Bombyx mori: one gene and its partner. The protein of the gene in region 2 purifies or fractionates together with the protein of the main gene of each other region. This does not show direct contact. Links are inferred from orthologs where the notes say so. Each region holds a gene or a part of one and is shown on either strand. Other genes may lie near its edges. The genes, in order: serine/threonine-protein phosphatase PP1-beta catalytic subunit and protein phosphatase 1 regulatory subunit 12B.

Region 1 (4,276 bases), on a different chromosome or scaffold from region 2:
TATAATTATTGTGTTCTCATCAGTCCTAGATACACGTACAAATTTTCAAATTGATCAGAAAACTCCAGAGGGTAAATATTATGTTGAAAGATTTAGTTACATGAAGAGAGAGTGAGTCAGTGAGTGAGTGAGTGAGAGAGAGAGAGAGAGATATATAGAAATATACCTAGATAGATACAGATAAAGCTAATAAGAACAATACTTTATAGATAACTTTGAGTATAAAATCTTAGCAAAAAGTAGGAAGAAGTGAGACACAATTTATTTTATGTTTTTTTTTGTGTGGCACTTATGGTGCATCATGTATGCATGCTGAGGAAAAAAGTTACTCTTTCATAATTTCATAATGAGAAAAAGGGAGGAGAAAAAAAAAACTTTTATTTATATTAAAGACATTTAAAAAAAGGTTTGTATGTTTGCTCTCTGTGGGTCTAGAGCTGGCTAGATTGAAAAAAGTGTGACAATAAAGAATGACACCAAACACTGACATCTTTTCTGATTCTGATCTGATCTTCATCTGATTTTTGAGGCACTTCCCGAAGACCTAGGAAACTGAAACTTCTATTTTCAATATTTTTTTCTATTCATTCAGGTTGGCATTAATTTTGAGAATATGCATTTATTTTACATATTTTTAATAAATAATACTGATTTTTTTTTGTTCACCAATATTCCCAAAAATTTTCTGCAATACCACGTTTATTCACATTTCATTTACATGCATGATTCCTTTGCAGGAGGTACAGAGAGGATTGTATTAAATGCTAGGGCTAGGTAAGTATGCCCTAATACCACCAACTACAGAATTGTCTTGCAGATAATTTTGGATAATGGTTATTCTATTACAGCTCAGGGAATGATTCCAATACTTATTTTAAATTTTATGCTTTAATACAGGGTGTATTAAATCATAAAAGTTAAATAAACATAGTATGAATGAAATAACAAACTTTGAAAATAGAATTTTACTTTTGAAAGTAGCTTAGGTTCATGAAATTAAATAAGCTAAATAATTATTTTTAAATCTCATTGTTACTGGTGTAAGATATTTATATTTCATTAAGAATGTTTTTAATTTAGTGAAAAAAAGAACTTTTAAGACTTTACCACAAATTTTGAGTGGTGCCTCCAACTCCAGTAATATGGGCTGCTGCAGGAATATTTCTCTGGACTTTGTGCAGAGCCCACGTACCTCTGCCTCCGACATTTGCACAGTCTTGCCAGGCCTGCATCCTCGAACTAAGGCAAAAGTTTGAAGTCAGAATAATAAGATTTATTAAAAATATAGATTTGTTTAAAACTGTAGTACAACTAAAAGCAATTAAGCACTCTTAGCCTTTTTTTGTTTATAATTTTATTCTTATAAGTAGCTAAGGAAGCATAGTTAGTATAGTTTTCAATTTAATTTTATAAATTTAATTGAATGGGTTTCAGTTTGCTAACTTCTAACTCAAAATAAACAGAATGCTTTTCATAACACAAAAAACATTTATCAAATGCAGGGGTTTTATTAAATGTTATATTTATGACATGTAAGGCATGCAGACATTTTCATGCAAAATACAATTTAACTACCATTCCTAGAATGAAATTTGATAAGAATCTAACAAAACAAAATGTATTCAAGTATTGATAAATTTATAGGCACACAAATCAACAAGCACTCCTAAACACTAGCACTCAGTATCAAAATTGATCACCAATATAATCTCAAAAAGTTATTAATTTAAAAAATTTGCAAGATTAAGATCAAGTTTTTATCTAAATTAACATTATACAGCTGTAAACACAGATTGCAAGACCTTCCTATAAAATGGTTTAGCGATCATAGTTTGTATATACTTGTGGCTATTTTTAGATTCAATTGAAGAATGAGATGTTGATGGGTAACACATGATATAATTATTGGGAATAAACTTTCGGTTAAGACTGATCACTAGGGTAGTAAGAAATAAACGTTCTAGCTGAATACTCTGGCAAGAATTTTGAATGTGGCCATACATTCTCCTGAAAAGATGTCTTTCAATTTGCCTTTCTTCCTTGCAGTTTCTTGTTGCAGTCTGTATACTGTTGTAACCCATCAAAAAGCAGCACAATAAAGTGAAATGTATATGTTTGAATCAAGTAAGCAATGCGTAACACTAATAAAAGAACAATAAGTTTGTGAGTGTTTAAATCTATGGAAGTCTGACATCATTGTTCAGGGCTAAAATCTAACAACTATTGTTTATACGTAAATCTTCCCTTCTAATTGAAAAATAACATATCCAAGGCATTTAAACATTAACAGAAACGCTAATATGCAGCCTGATAAGAAATTAAGGATAATCGATTTATTTATGAGGTTGACGTTTCTATGCCTTCTTATTCAGAAATAATTACGCAACAAGGACCAGCTGAATGAAAACCCAATATTATCAGACTTGCAACTAGACGTCTGGTAGTTAAGAGAGGCTCACAAAATCGTAACAAATTGCATTTTACCTTCCAAAAGTCTGTGAATTAGACTGTCAACATTTAGTTCGTCAGCCATATTTACTACACGAATAAATTTATGTCAAAAAGTCAAATGTTTTTTTCTTCCTGTTTGCTCTTATTGTTTGTGGTTAGAATTACTCTTCATAATACGCAGAACTTGTAAAGAAGTAAATAGGAGAACAATTTTATGTTTAAAATGGTTTTTATCGTCGCTTCTCATTTATTGTGTTTCATGGATAGTTACTTAACTTAAAAAATGTCCATTGGTAGACACAAAACGTTAAAATAAAATAGCATTTGAGTAAGTTTCAGGTACATTCCAAGTACTGCAAAATGATTCGTATTTGGTTTTTAATCGGTTTGGTTGGAAATATACATATCTGCAAGAACGTTTTGGGTTCCTAGGTGAGACGTATAATTTTTTCCTGTGTTTGTTTGCTTATCGTTTCCATGCTGTTGATTTATTAAGTATATATAAGTAAATTAATATATAAAAGTATATTGGGACCTATATAAGTGATTATGGTGATTTCATATTGTGTAAACGGTCTAAGCATATATACTATTTATTGTATTGTGTTTGAAGTCGTCGTGGCCTAAGGGATAAGACGTCCGGTGCATTCGTGTTGAAGCGATGCAACGGTGTTCGAATTCCAGACGGGTACCAGTTTTTCTAATGAAATACGTACTTAACAAATGTTCACGATTGACTTCCGCGGTGAAGGAATAACATCGCTGTAATAAAAATCAAACCCGCAAAATTATAATTTGCGTAATTACTGGTGGTAGGACCACTTGTGAGTCTGCACGGATAGGTACCACCGCACTGCCTATTTCTGCCGTAAAGCAGTAATGCGTTGCGGTTTGAAGGGTGGGGCAATGAGCTCGTTCACCTATCTAAGCAATAAAAAAAATGTATTTTTTTCCTTATTAATCTATTCTTAATAGTACACCGCAACATATACAATACTGTATCTTAATATTTTGAGAATTTCTGTAAATAAATCGGTTGTCTAGAACAGATCGCTTTTAGTAATAAGGTCGCATAATGTACAAATATATCTACTTGTTGATTCTTTTTTAATGTTAATTGTGTTTTGGCGTGCATTAAAGTATATTCTCTCGAGAGATCACTTTCCATGAAATTTAACATTATCGGTGCCCATTCGTAAATCGTGCTCTATTCGCTTCAAATTGAAATAAAGTAAAATCAGCTGAATTATTCAATTAGTACCTTTTTTACTCATCGTTTCTAAAGTTGTTCTAAGCATTAAAATGAAGTATTCATCCGATAATATTTTTAAACTACTACTCTAAAAACCATCGAACTTGGAGTCGTTGCGTTTCCAGAGATGTTTTTTCCACGTACCATTCGGCTCGATATTTAATTTGCCTCTACAGTGTTTCCCGAGTATTTCAAACTGGGCTTGGAATGAGTTTGGAATGGTACACAGCGCTTGGACTAGCATGTTGAGACAAACTTGAATATTGCTCTGCTTTGGAAGGCTTAATAGATTTATTAAAATATTACAATTGACAGCCATACCGGTATAAGTTGCAAAAACAGTTATTAGTTCTGTAGTAGAAAGCTCATTCTATATAATCTGATACAAAGGTGTTATAATTTCATTAATTTTCTCTAAAATTAATCGAAATCAAATTCACAACTACTTTTAGATTAATAAGTGGACAAGTTTATTTTTATTTTTGGTCATTGTATTTTTTTTTGATATTTTGTGTTTTGAGCCATCGACTAAATTTGACTTTTAGGCAAAGACAACACTTGTTTTATTTTTAA
Region 2 (10,178 bases):
TACACAATAAATATTTCAAACTGTTGACAAAAAATAAACGTAAGAAAGCGCATCAAATTTAAATAAACGAATCGTAAAACTATCGATATTTTTCATTGTTAATAACAACTACATGCATTAAATACAAAATGGGACACCGAAAAACCATCCGTATTGTGTATGTATACTTATTTGTACATGTAACAAGTGCATGTAGAACAGTGAATTATAATGTAATTTTTTTTTTCAAGCAAAAAAAAAATAAACAATAATTGCAAAGATTCAATTTTAAATACAAATCCATACATATACAAAGCGGTTAATTATTTCGCACAAAAATAATAAAATTGTAATCGTAAAATTAGTAAGTATACCATTTCGATTACTAGAACTTACACGTTTGCTTCGTATCTTACGCGATTTTAATATTAAAGTTTATATAGATTGCATTTTTTTTTAAATTATAAATAAATTATCGTTAAACAAAATTCGTAATCATTATGCATAATCCACACTGTATAAAGGGGGCCGTTCCAATAAATTCATCTTCGGAACTTTGCTAATAGCAGGAACTATGTTTTAGGCACAAATCATTATAATTAGTAATAGACAACGAAGAAATAAACGCATTAGCAGTAAGTAATATCGATGCGCACACGTGTTCATACGCCGCAACTTGATTCCAATACCGATTACATGTGCGATCATAATATAGTATATATAATAACAATACGACAATAATATAAAGTTTGTAAAACCTTCGAAATTTTAAGAATATGTAAAATTCACAATATACGATAAAAGTTACAGTTTGCAATGTTCCGAGGGGATGCGATCAGAGACGTACATATATATTTATTACATATCCGAATGAAAACGAAAAAGAATCGATGTTATGTACAATGGTGTCGATCACTCGTAATACATGAAGTTTATGGTTTCACGCACTTGTTTCGTATTTCGCGTGTAAGTAAATGTCCTAAACGTTCGGATTGATTCTGTCTAATAGCGGCGTTGTTTGTGAGGGAGGTCAGTTTGTCCGCGAACATTGGCTCAGCGAGCTCGAGATTCATTTGGACAGCTTACTGATGACTCTGATCAACGCCCCGTTCTCGTCCTTCAGCCGCTGGTTTTCGGCCTGCAGTGCCTGTTGATACTGAAAACGTCCATTGTATAATCAATTGCAAGTATCAAAATATTTAACGGAAAAAGAAAAAAACTAAAAAAAAAAACACGATAAAAAAAATCGTCACCTATTTATAAGAATCGATAATTCAATATAATATATTTACATGAATTTATAGTTTCGACAAGGTGATCTTCCCAAAAAAATTGATTTCAAACGAAATTAATTTCAAAAATTTTATTGTAAAATAATACAAGATTAAAAACTAAAAGCTAAAACACAGTATGTACATGATGCGCTACGCTTCGGTTAGGATGTGTACCAAACTTTATAGTAATAAAATTAAATCATTAATCGGGTGTGATGTGTGTGCGTATTAAGTGTTCGATCAGAGTGTCGATGTGTACTTCGTTCGTTAGGTCGATTGACGTTTTAATTGTAATAAAAAATAACTATTTTAAAGTACTTATGTACGTACATTATTCGATACGTTTAAAATCTGGGAAATGATTTGATTCGTTCAACAATTACGGGAACATTTCATGCAACACACGCTAGCTCGTTGCACTACGTTGTGTTTCATTTCAATTTCTTAATGAGGTAATAAATACCACAAGAACCTATTACCTTTCATCACCTCTACTGTTTTGCCTGAATCACATTACAAAACAAATATCCCTCACCGACAGTAGTAGTACTAAACATTTAACGTACAATCAAAACTAAATTTGAGACGATTTAACAAACCCTTACGTAGTATATAATATTATATGTATATACGTTAACAAAACAGATATAATAAAACACAACGCATCCGACTTCGTCTACGTTATTGGCTTGAATGCGAACCGAATAGCGCATCCGGGAACACGCGTTAGTTAAGACAGACACGTACGAAAGCATGCTCGCCATATCACACGGTTAATTCACATCGTTATATGACGTAGTGGGGATCGCGACTGGTACGGTCCACGGACCACGTGTACGAAACTAGAGGACGACATCTCGCTTGCAACCACCCGATCCTAGAGTTAGTGTATACGTCTCCTAACCTAACATGACCTTAGTATCAATCATATATCTTGAAGAAATATTAAAGCAGTTAGAATTTACGGTCGTCACTTGCCTTTTCGGATTTAGCAAAACAGCCTTCGAAAACTAAATATTTAAATATATATATAATTCTGTTAGAAGAAAGGGAAAGAGAGAGAGAGAGGGAAAGAGAGATGGGGGAAAGGGGGATAGAGAGGGAGGGGGAGAGGGGATAGAGGGGGAGGGGGAGAGGGGAGAGAGGGAGGGGAGAGAGGGAGGGGAGAGAGAAAGGGAGGGGGAGAGAGGCAGGGGAGAGAGGGAGGGGGAGAGAGGGAGGGGGAGAGGGGGAGGGGACAGGGAGGGGGAGGGAGGGGGAGAGAGGGATATTAAAGAAAAAATTGAGTGATTCAAAACTAAGTGTATTTATAAATGACGCAAGAATTATTCTGGTAGGATTGCAAGCGAGATGTTTGTAGGTGATACCGAAACAAGCCGTGCGGCGTCGCCACTGGAGCGGGCGCTCAACAAACGTACACAGTTACCTATTTGGCGGCAGAGTTGGTCAATTTGCTGACGACACGCGTCAGTGCACGGTTCTCTGCCCTCAGCCTTTCGTTCTCGGCTTTTAGTTTTTGCAATTGCTATAAAACATCAACATTGATTATTGTTATCTGCGGCTGATGTGCGGCGCCATCTTGACGAACGCCAATTTTTGCAACTCTAACCTACATATATATATATTTATAATGTGTGGTGTAGGAACAGTGTTCGATATCGTTCGAAAACAGTTATTTTGTGATTCGTTACCTTCAGCTCTTCTTCCATTTCCGATAGTTTTCTTTCCATCGCTCTCTTTTCCCGTTTCTCGATTTCAGATAATGAATTCTGATTCTGAGAACAAAACAAAATTTCATATTATCAAATCACATTAATACTGTGAATCGTGAACCCGTAGTTTCAAAATAATATGACCTTCGCTTCGAAATAACAGCATTAATTAGACACATTTCAGAAAGTGAATCAGTACTTTGTAATATGCCTTATGTAAATATATACCTACAAAATATACTAATTGCATCAGCTTCGTTAATGAACGCCGAATATATCTTGCAAGTCATTTTAATAATCATTTTAATAAATAATTCGACAGCTATTGTTACGGTCATTGCATACTCGTGCAATTTACGATTGGGCAATTAATTACATTCTGCATAGCATTAAAGAATTTAATTATTTTTTTAATATATTGCACAATTTGTTTACAATTTGACGTGTCGAAATGAAACATCACGATAAATTCAATGAAATTTTTACGAGTATTGAAAATCAAATTTTATTTAATGATTAATCACATTTATGACACGTAAATACTGCAGCATATAATGCATTGAGTCAGATATCGGATATTAAAAAAAAATGACCTTGAATGGTCTTCAGTAATTGGAATATATTATATCCAAATTAATTGCTCATATAAGTAGTGATTCACGTCTAAAACGATATCTCCTCTTTCGTTAAATGATAGACAGCTGCGGGTGCGTATTCGCAATGCGCATCATGCATCCATGCTGTGTCTATGTATCGCCGGGGCAAAACATCTAAAATTGACAATGTACCTACGCAAATGCAAAAAGCGCGGCTGCCAAGTTGTCATCTACCTTAAGCCGATAATTACTTACGAAAATCACGCCGCACTACATAAACAAACACAAACCACACTAGGTATTTATTATATTTGGGTCCGTGTTCCAATCTTCTTCTTTTGTCTAAAGCTGATCACAACATCGTAATGATAACACACAAATCTACGACCAATACTAACACAATAAACAAAAGCACGTTCGCAAGTTGCAGCAGTAGGTTTTGAAAGGGTGGTTTGTGCACTACGCATTTATCGTAAGATACAGACTACAAAATAAAAGAATTGAAAAGTAAATTCTATTTGAAACAAAACAGGGATTCTAAAGCGCTGCGAATTTCTTTCGTACGTTCCAATTCTAGTTTTTAGTGAACGGTTCATGTGAAATTTACTTAAGGAAATCTAATTGATTTATCGTAAATCATACTCTTAGTATGACTGCCCTCTAGACAGTTGCGGATATGCATGAAATGGTTTTACAAAGAAACTTTGATCGGAATATTTAAATACATTCTTAGGCATTTTAGCAAGATTTTAAATCTCAAAAATATTTAGTCAGGATTTAAAATTTTAAACTAAATTATGAACTTACAATTCGAAACAAAAATTTGTAATTAGCCGTTCGGAAATTGCAATTCTTTTGAACCCTCCAGTTTCCTACGGGATTGTATGTAATCATTATTGAACGCAAATCACAGAGCAGGCGAATGAAACAATCATGCACACCGACATCAAAGTACATGTCATACCACTTGCGTGAGCCTTGCGATGGTGGCGCGGGCCTCGCGTAGCTGTTGCTCTGAAGTCGTGAGCAGTGACCGTAGACGCCGCACCTCGCTGGCAGACGCTTCATAAAGTGCTTTGTAGTCTCGCTCTTCGCCTTCCTCGGTACGTTCGCTTCCAGACTAAAACAATAGATAAAAAAAATCGTTGAGTATGGTACGGTGGTAGGACCTCTTGTGAGTCCGCGCGGGTAGGTACCACCACCCCGCCTATTTCTGCCGTGAAGCAGTAATGCGTTTCGGTCTGAAGGGTAGGGCAGCCATTGTAACTATACTGAGATCTTAGAACTTATATCTCAAGGTGGGTGACGTGGAAGACGTCTATGGGCTCCAGTAACCACTTAACACCAGGTGAGCTGTGAGCTCATCCACCTATCTAAGCAATAAAAATAATAATGTGTATATCATTTTGAAGTCGTTCAATTTGTTCGACATTTACACACATGGATATGGTTATAACTTGAATGCCGTCTCACTTCTGAGACATACATGTGTGGCTCGAGGTCTGAATGGCGACACTTTACTTCTACGAAACCACGTATGGTAAGATACGCGAGTTTGACTGTCAGAACAATTTTCTCTTTGCATGAATAGCCTTTATCGAGTCGGATGTAGGACAAGATATTTCAGACGCTCCACAACCCTTAACGTCTTTCAGGCCCATTGAATGTTTGATTAGAGACCAGTGAAGGATGTTAGAAGACAACATGGTGGTCGTCGACGACCGCTGATTGAGTTAACGAAACTTGCGTTAACCTCTCTTGTCCTGTCACAATTCCACCTCAGCAGCAAAGCAGAAGCGGGGACCAAAAACCAAGAGTGGGGTTTTTAAATGGGCTTCAACTTCGTCAATTCAATCTCACGGCAAAAAAATCGTAAGTTAAACTCTTCTATTAATCCGAAAATCCATGTATATCATATCACACGAAATATTCATCATATATCGGTAACTAATCCCGTTAGAAAATAATTAACTTGACATTAATAAGTCATTGATATGACCTAAATGTTTCTAGAGACAGACGCTAATCTAATATGAAACAGTAATTCGAATACCCTGCCGTCTCGCACGGTATTAGCCTTGAACGTATGTGTAGTTAAATGAATTAGTTAGTTAATAAAAGTTGCTAGAAATTCTGATCCGAATATCAATAGCGGTTGTGTGAAATAATTTTATTTACTTTTAATTTCTCCTATATTATGGACACTAGAAATACGTACGAGATAGAAATAACGACACCCGAATGCCGAGTATCAAATATACTTTGCAGAGATACTGGTTCTGACCGAGCATCCAAACGAGACACCGTTGTACAATAGTGAGTCACTCGAGAAACGAGCCGATTTCTGTGAATATACTGTAAATTCCGTAGACAGGTATATAAATCAATAGATACAGTTATAGCCGATCCTTACATAGACATTACCAGATATTAGATTCCAACATAAATACAAGCCACTCCAAACTCCATCGATAATTAGAAGACCATCTTCAGTAGTGGGACAACTGAGCCTCGGGATGAGCGCTTTGTTAGCCTAGCCTGGAGCCCGAGTAGAAAATGATATATGATAGCCATATTATGATAATACGATCAAATACATAACCTCATCACGACTACTTTCATTCTCAGGTAGCATATAGCCACGACCACAATCAGCCCTAACACCGAATGTAGCGCATGAGATAGGAATTAGCAGGGTAAAATAAACACTGAAAACAAACAGAGAGTTTGAATTTATTTCCCGAGTATATTAAATGTAACCGGCATTTAGACAGCTGATGAGCTGGGCAGCTGAAGTCAACAAAGAGGCCTTCGAGAGAACAGACAAACATTACTGACTAGAGGCTACAATTTTGACTACGTGGCATAAGGTTAGTGTGCATCGTAAGTCGACGTCCCCCAAAACACGTCATTTCGGATCACAGACACAGCTCACGGATCTTCTCAGTTTCACGTATTTGGTTCCTTCTGCGGCAGGGGAAATTGCGGTGCAGGTGGGACTGTTAAGATGCTAGAGGCCACTTATAAACGACTCCCCTGGAATTTCGCCTGAATGTCCGGTCCCCGCCCGAAACAGAGCCCGGGAGAAGTAAGATATTACCACAGTCAATACTACGGCCATACCCGCGACTCACACCAAGTATCTCAAAAGATGAAGTCGTCGGAGACGAATTGATGTCTTCGCCGGCCTCATAGTACGGCAGAGGCCCCACGGTGCTGCTGGTGTTATAGAATACTCCAATGAACCAGAGCCGCGAAACACAGCCAATAAGTCGGACTTCATAACTAGTATAGCGCGCTAGTGCTAGTAGCCTCCCGGTCGCTCCATGGTCTTAATTACCGGGAGAGGCCGCCTCCTTCAGAGTCTGGGACTATGCAAAATCCCTCCTCCTTCTTCGGAAAACATCGTAACATCGTCGCTCCCAACGGAGACACGGAGGACGTATCGATCGAAACAAAATATTGCAGTTGCTTGTTCAACGTTTGTTGCAATTCTGAATTGCTTCCATTAAATTATTTTACAACTCAAACCGGTAGCTCGAGTCTTATTGATTTATTTTTTTAATGGATAATAGAATTTTATGATTGCATAGTAAGTGTCCAATCATTACTGGTCCTAAGCCACGAGTGCCTTTACAAATGTGCCGCGATCGAAAAATCATGATCTCTAGTTAAAAAAACGAAATAATTCAAATTCTTTACATCATTTTATTCATGATGTTGTTTCTTAATGTCCCGACTAGTAATAGAATGATACTTTGTCTTTTGTCATAATTATATGTATCGATGCTATACAAATATCGATATGCGTGTTATTAATACGATAATCATTGTAATAAAATAAACCAACACTGGTGTATGAATTTATAAATTTTAACTGTTTAACCAGCTAAGGACAGACCACATAAATATTCACCCGCCTTCGCAAAACATGATGGATTGGAGATTTAAAAACTCATGTATACACGTGTTTCGTGGAAAAGTGTATATTTCGCTATATTGTAATTTGTTTAGGAGATTTGCGAGTTCTTTGATGTGTGTCTAGAAAAAAAACCTTTTTTATTTGTACTTCTGGAAAAAACCATTTTCTCTTTTGCTACAAAAGAAATGGAGTTCATTGTGTTTGATATACATATATGTTAATTATTTTATTTTTAAGTTCGTTACACCCTTATACGCCTACACAGTTTCAGTTACATTGTTCTCAAAATACTTTTAAGGTTTATTTGCGTTATTTGCTTCTTCGTTTTATAGTTTTCGAAGTTTTCAACGGTTAACGGTCGTCGTGGTCGTAAGAAGAGTGCTGCACATGTCGGCGCGAGGGCGGTATCGAGTTACAATGAAACTCTTTGATATAAAACTCTTGGAAATAGAACTTTACCATGATGTTGCCGCTTCACAATACCGACCACTTGCAACTTTTTTTTTTTATGTCTGACAATACATTCTAAGCTCAAATGACATTTATGTTAAAAATATGGGATTCTATTTTCTAATTAAGTCGTTTTTTATTGATTAGTGTTTCGTTTTCGACGCGATAAAAAATACGACTAATTATGCCATACAAGTTCTGTTGCGGTAGCAGTACTACACAAGCGGTTTACAAAATTAATAACATGAGCGCTATAAACGAACGCACGACACATTATTGGTTTGAAGGCTTCCGACATGGAAATTTTGATTTAAATATGAATCCAGTGGTCACGCGAAAACTAAAGTCAACAATGACGAAACAATGGTAATAGTGACAACTGACGATAGTCAATCTATCGCTGAACTAACTCAGCTACTAATAGCAGCTTTTAACATCAAGCTAGCATCAAAACCATATTGTTTCATCTGCATTGTCACTTGATTATGAGAAATGGATTCATTTCGATAGTCGTAAACGTAACGAGGGTCTGGTTCAGCACCTAGGAAATGCCTCAAACGAAAACTTAACCCTAAAATGTCATGGTCACTGTTTGGTGGTCTAGTGCCGTTATATTTCATCACAGCTTCTTACCGAATAGCACCAACATTACTGTGGGTGTGTAATGTGAGGAATTGGACACAATTATGGAGAAGCTCGCTCGCTCGAAAAAAGTTAATATAAAATTTGTTATTTTTATAACGGCTTATTTCTTTTTTGATAATTCAATCGATGAAAAATCGATTATTTCTTCTCTTTACAACCCAAATAAATAAAGCTATGTTCAATGTCGGTTAAATCATCATAGACATTTAACGTTGCTGACGGCACACGCTCGATAAATTCACGAGTCACTAATAAAATAGGTTTATGGAACTTTTCTTGATGAATTAGTTCACTTCACATAGAACGTTCCGACCATTTTCATCTTTCTACAAGATGATTTCACCTAGTTTACGAAATAAATTCAACGCGCTCGCGTGTAAACAAATCGTATAAATGTAATCGCGGCTGGGTAAAATATTTGAGAATCCATGGCGTGGGGCCAGTTAGATACTTGGATTTCGGGGATAATTTACTTGCGTTCTTTATAATATTATTTCGTAATCATAGATAAAATATTGTAGTCCTAGTTAGTTAATTTCTAAAAGTACATACGCAATATCCATCTGAAGCTAATGAGTTGAGACTCAATGACCGAGATCCGACGCCTCCGACAGTCTCTAGAGAGCCAAGGGATCGAGACTTCTCCTTGTCGAGTGCGGTGGCAGGCTTGTTGGCGCGGGGTTTCCGTTCAGGTCGTACCGGTGGTATCTCCGGAACGGGCTCTCCAGGCGCTGATTCTGTCACTTTAGCTGGCGGAACTGGTTTTGGCTTGAAATTCTTTTGGCTGGCCAATAACTTTTTGTCCAATTTTTTTAACACCGGAGTCATTAAGTTCAGAGATCCTAAAGTCGCGCCACTCAAATACACACCGCCGTAACCCGAACTTGTCCCTCCATAAATGCTGAGATTAGAAGCCGGACGACCCAACCCCACACTGTAAGGGTTGTAGTTTCTGTACGTACTCGGAGTATAATTCGAATAATTATTCGCGTATGGGCTGTATTGACCACTTAGGACTGAGCCAAGCATACTAGGCGAAGAGCCATAATGAGAGGTCAGGCTGCGTGGCCGCGATGTGTATCTATCCTGTTTTCGACTCATCCTCGATCACATTTCAACGTGGAATAGGACCGAGATGCGACGACCGCCCGGCGCGGCTTGTGGAAAGAGACTAAATGTTTCCCCGACCGAACCGTGTCTGAGTGAAAATGTTGTTAACTCCCACGCGGAGCGACGGCAAGATCGCGCGTGTGCGACTCGTTGACGCATCACTGGGCGACGGTAGCACGTGAGCCTGCCATCACCTGTAAAATTAAATATAAAGAGGTCGTCGGCCGCCGGGCCAGGTATGATCCTCGGAGATATCTCACTGATTGATTTTATCTCCTATTGGTAAGCGCGACGCCTCATCAATCAGTTATCGGTGTCGATCAGTATTGACAAGACATTCGGTGTCCCCCTCCTCGTGAAGGTACGCATGTGCCGAACTTAACATATACTACATTTTCTTCTTAAATCAACACATTATACATTAGGTATATATTATTTGTAAAAATATTAAGGGATAACTTTTTTATTTGGAAACAATTATATAATAATA

What was found.
Region 1: the proteins of protein phosphatase 1 regulatory subunit 12B (region 2) and serine/threonine-protein phosphatase PP1-beta catalytic subunit purify together in Drosophila melanogaster (affinity purification with mass spectrometry; 3 studies listed by BioGRID, with this or other methods). This does not show direct contact. The link is inferred for Bombyx mori from reciprocal best matches to the Drosophila melanogaster genes Mbs and flw.

The regions. Positions count from the first base shown.
Region 1 is NC_085124.1:8,354,003-8,358,278, reverse strand, and holds the start of serine/threonine-protein phosphatase PP1-beta catalytic subunit, read right to left. Parts: upstream 2,801-4,276; 5' UTR 2,534-2,800; coding exon 2,485-2,533; exon of another isoform or gene 2,373-2,484; intron 2,125-2,372; exon of another isoform or gene 2,008-2,124; intron 1,240-2,007; coding exon 1,108-1,239; intron 1-1,107. UniProt on the Drosophila melanogaster protein: Required for cell adhesion in non-muscle tissues and in maintenance of muscle attachment. Vital for larval development.
Region 2 is NC_085107.1:4,001,038-4,011,215, forward strand, and holds the end of protein phosphatase 1 regulatory subunit 12B, read right to left. Parts: intron 4,682-10,178; coding exon 4,526-4,681; intron 3,029-4,525; coding exon 2,945-3,028; intron 2,779-2,944; coding exon 2,680-2,778; intron 1,136-2,679; coding exon of another isoform or gene 1,049-1,135; 3' UTR 1,014-1,048; downstream 1-1,013.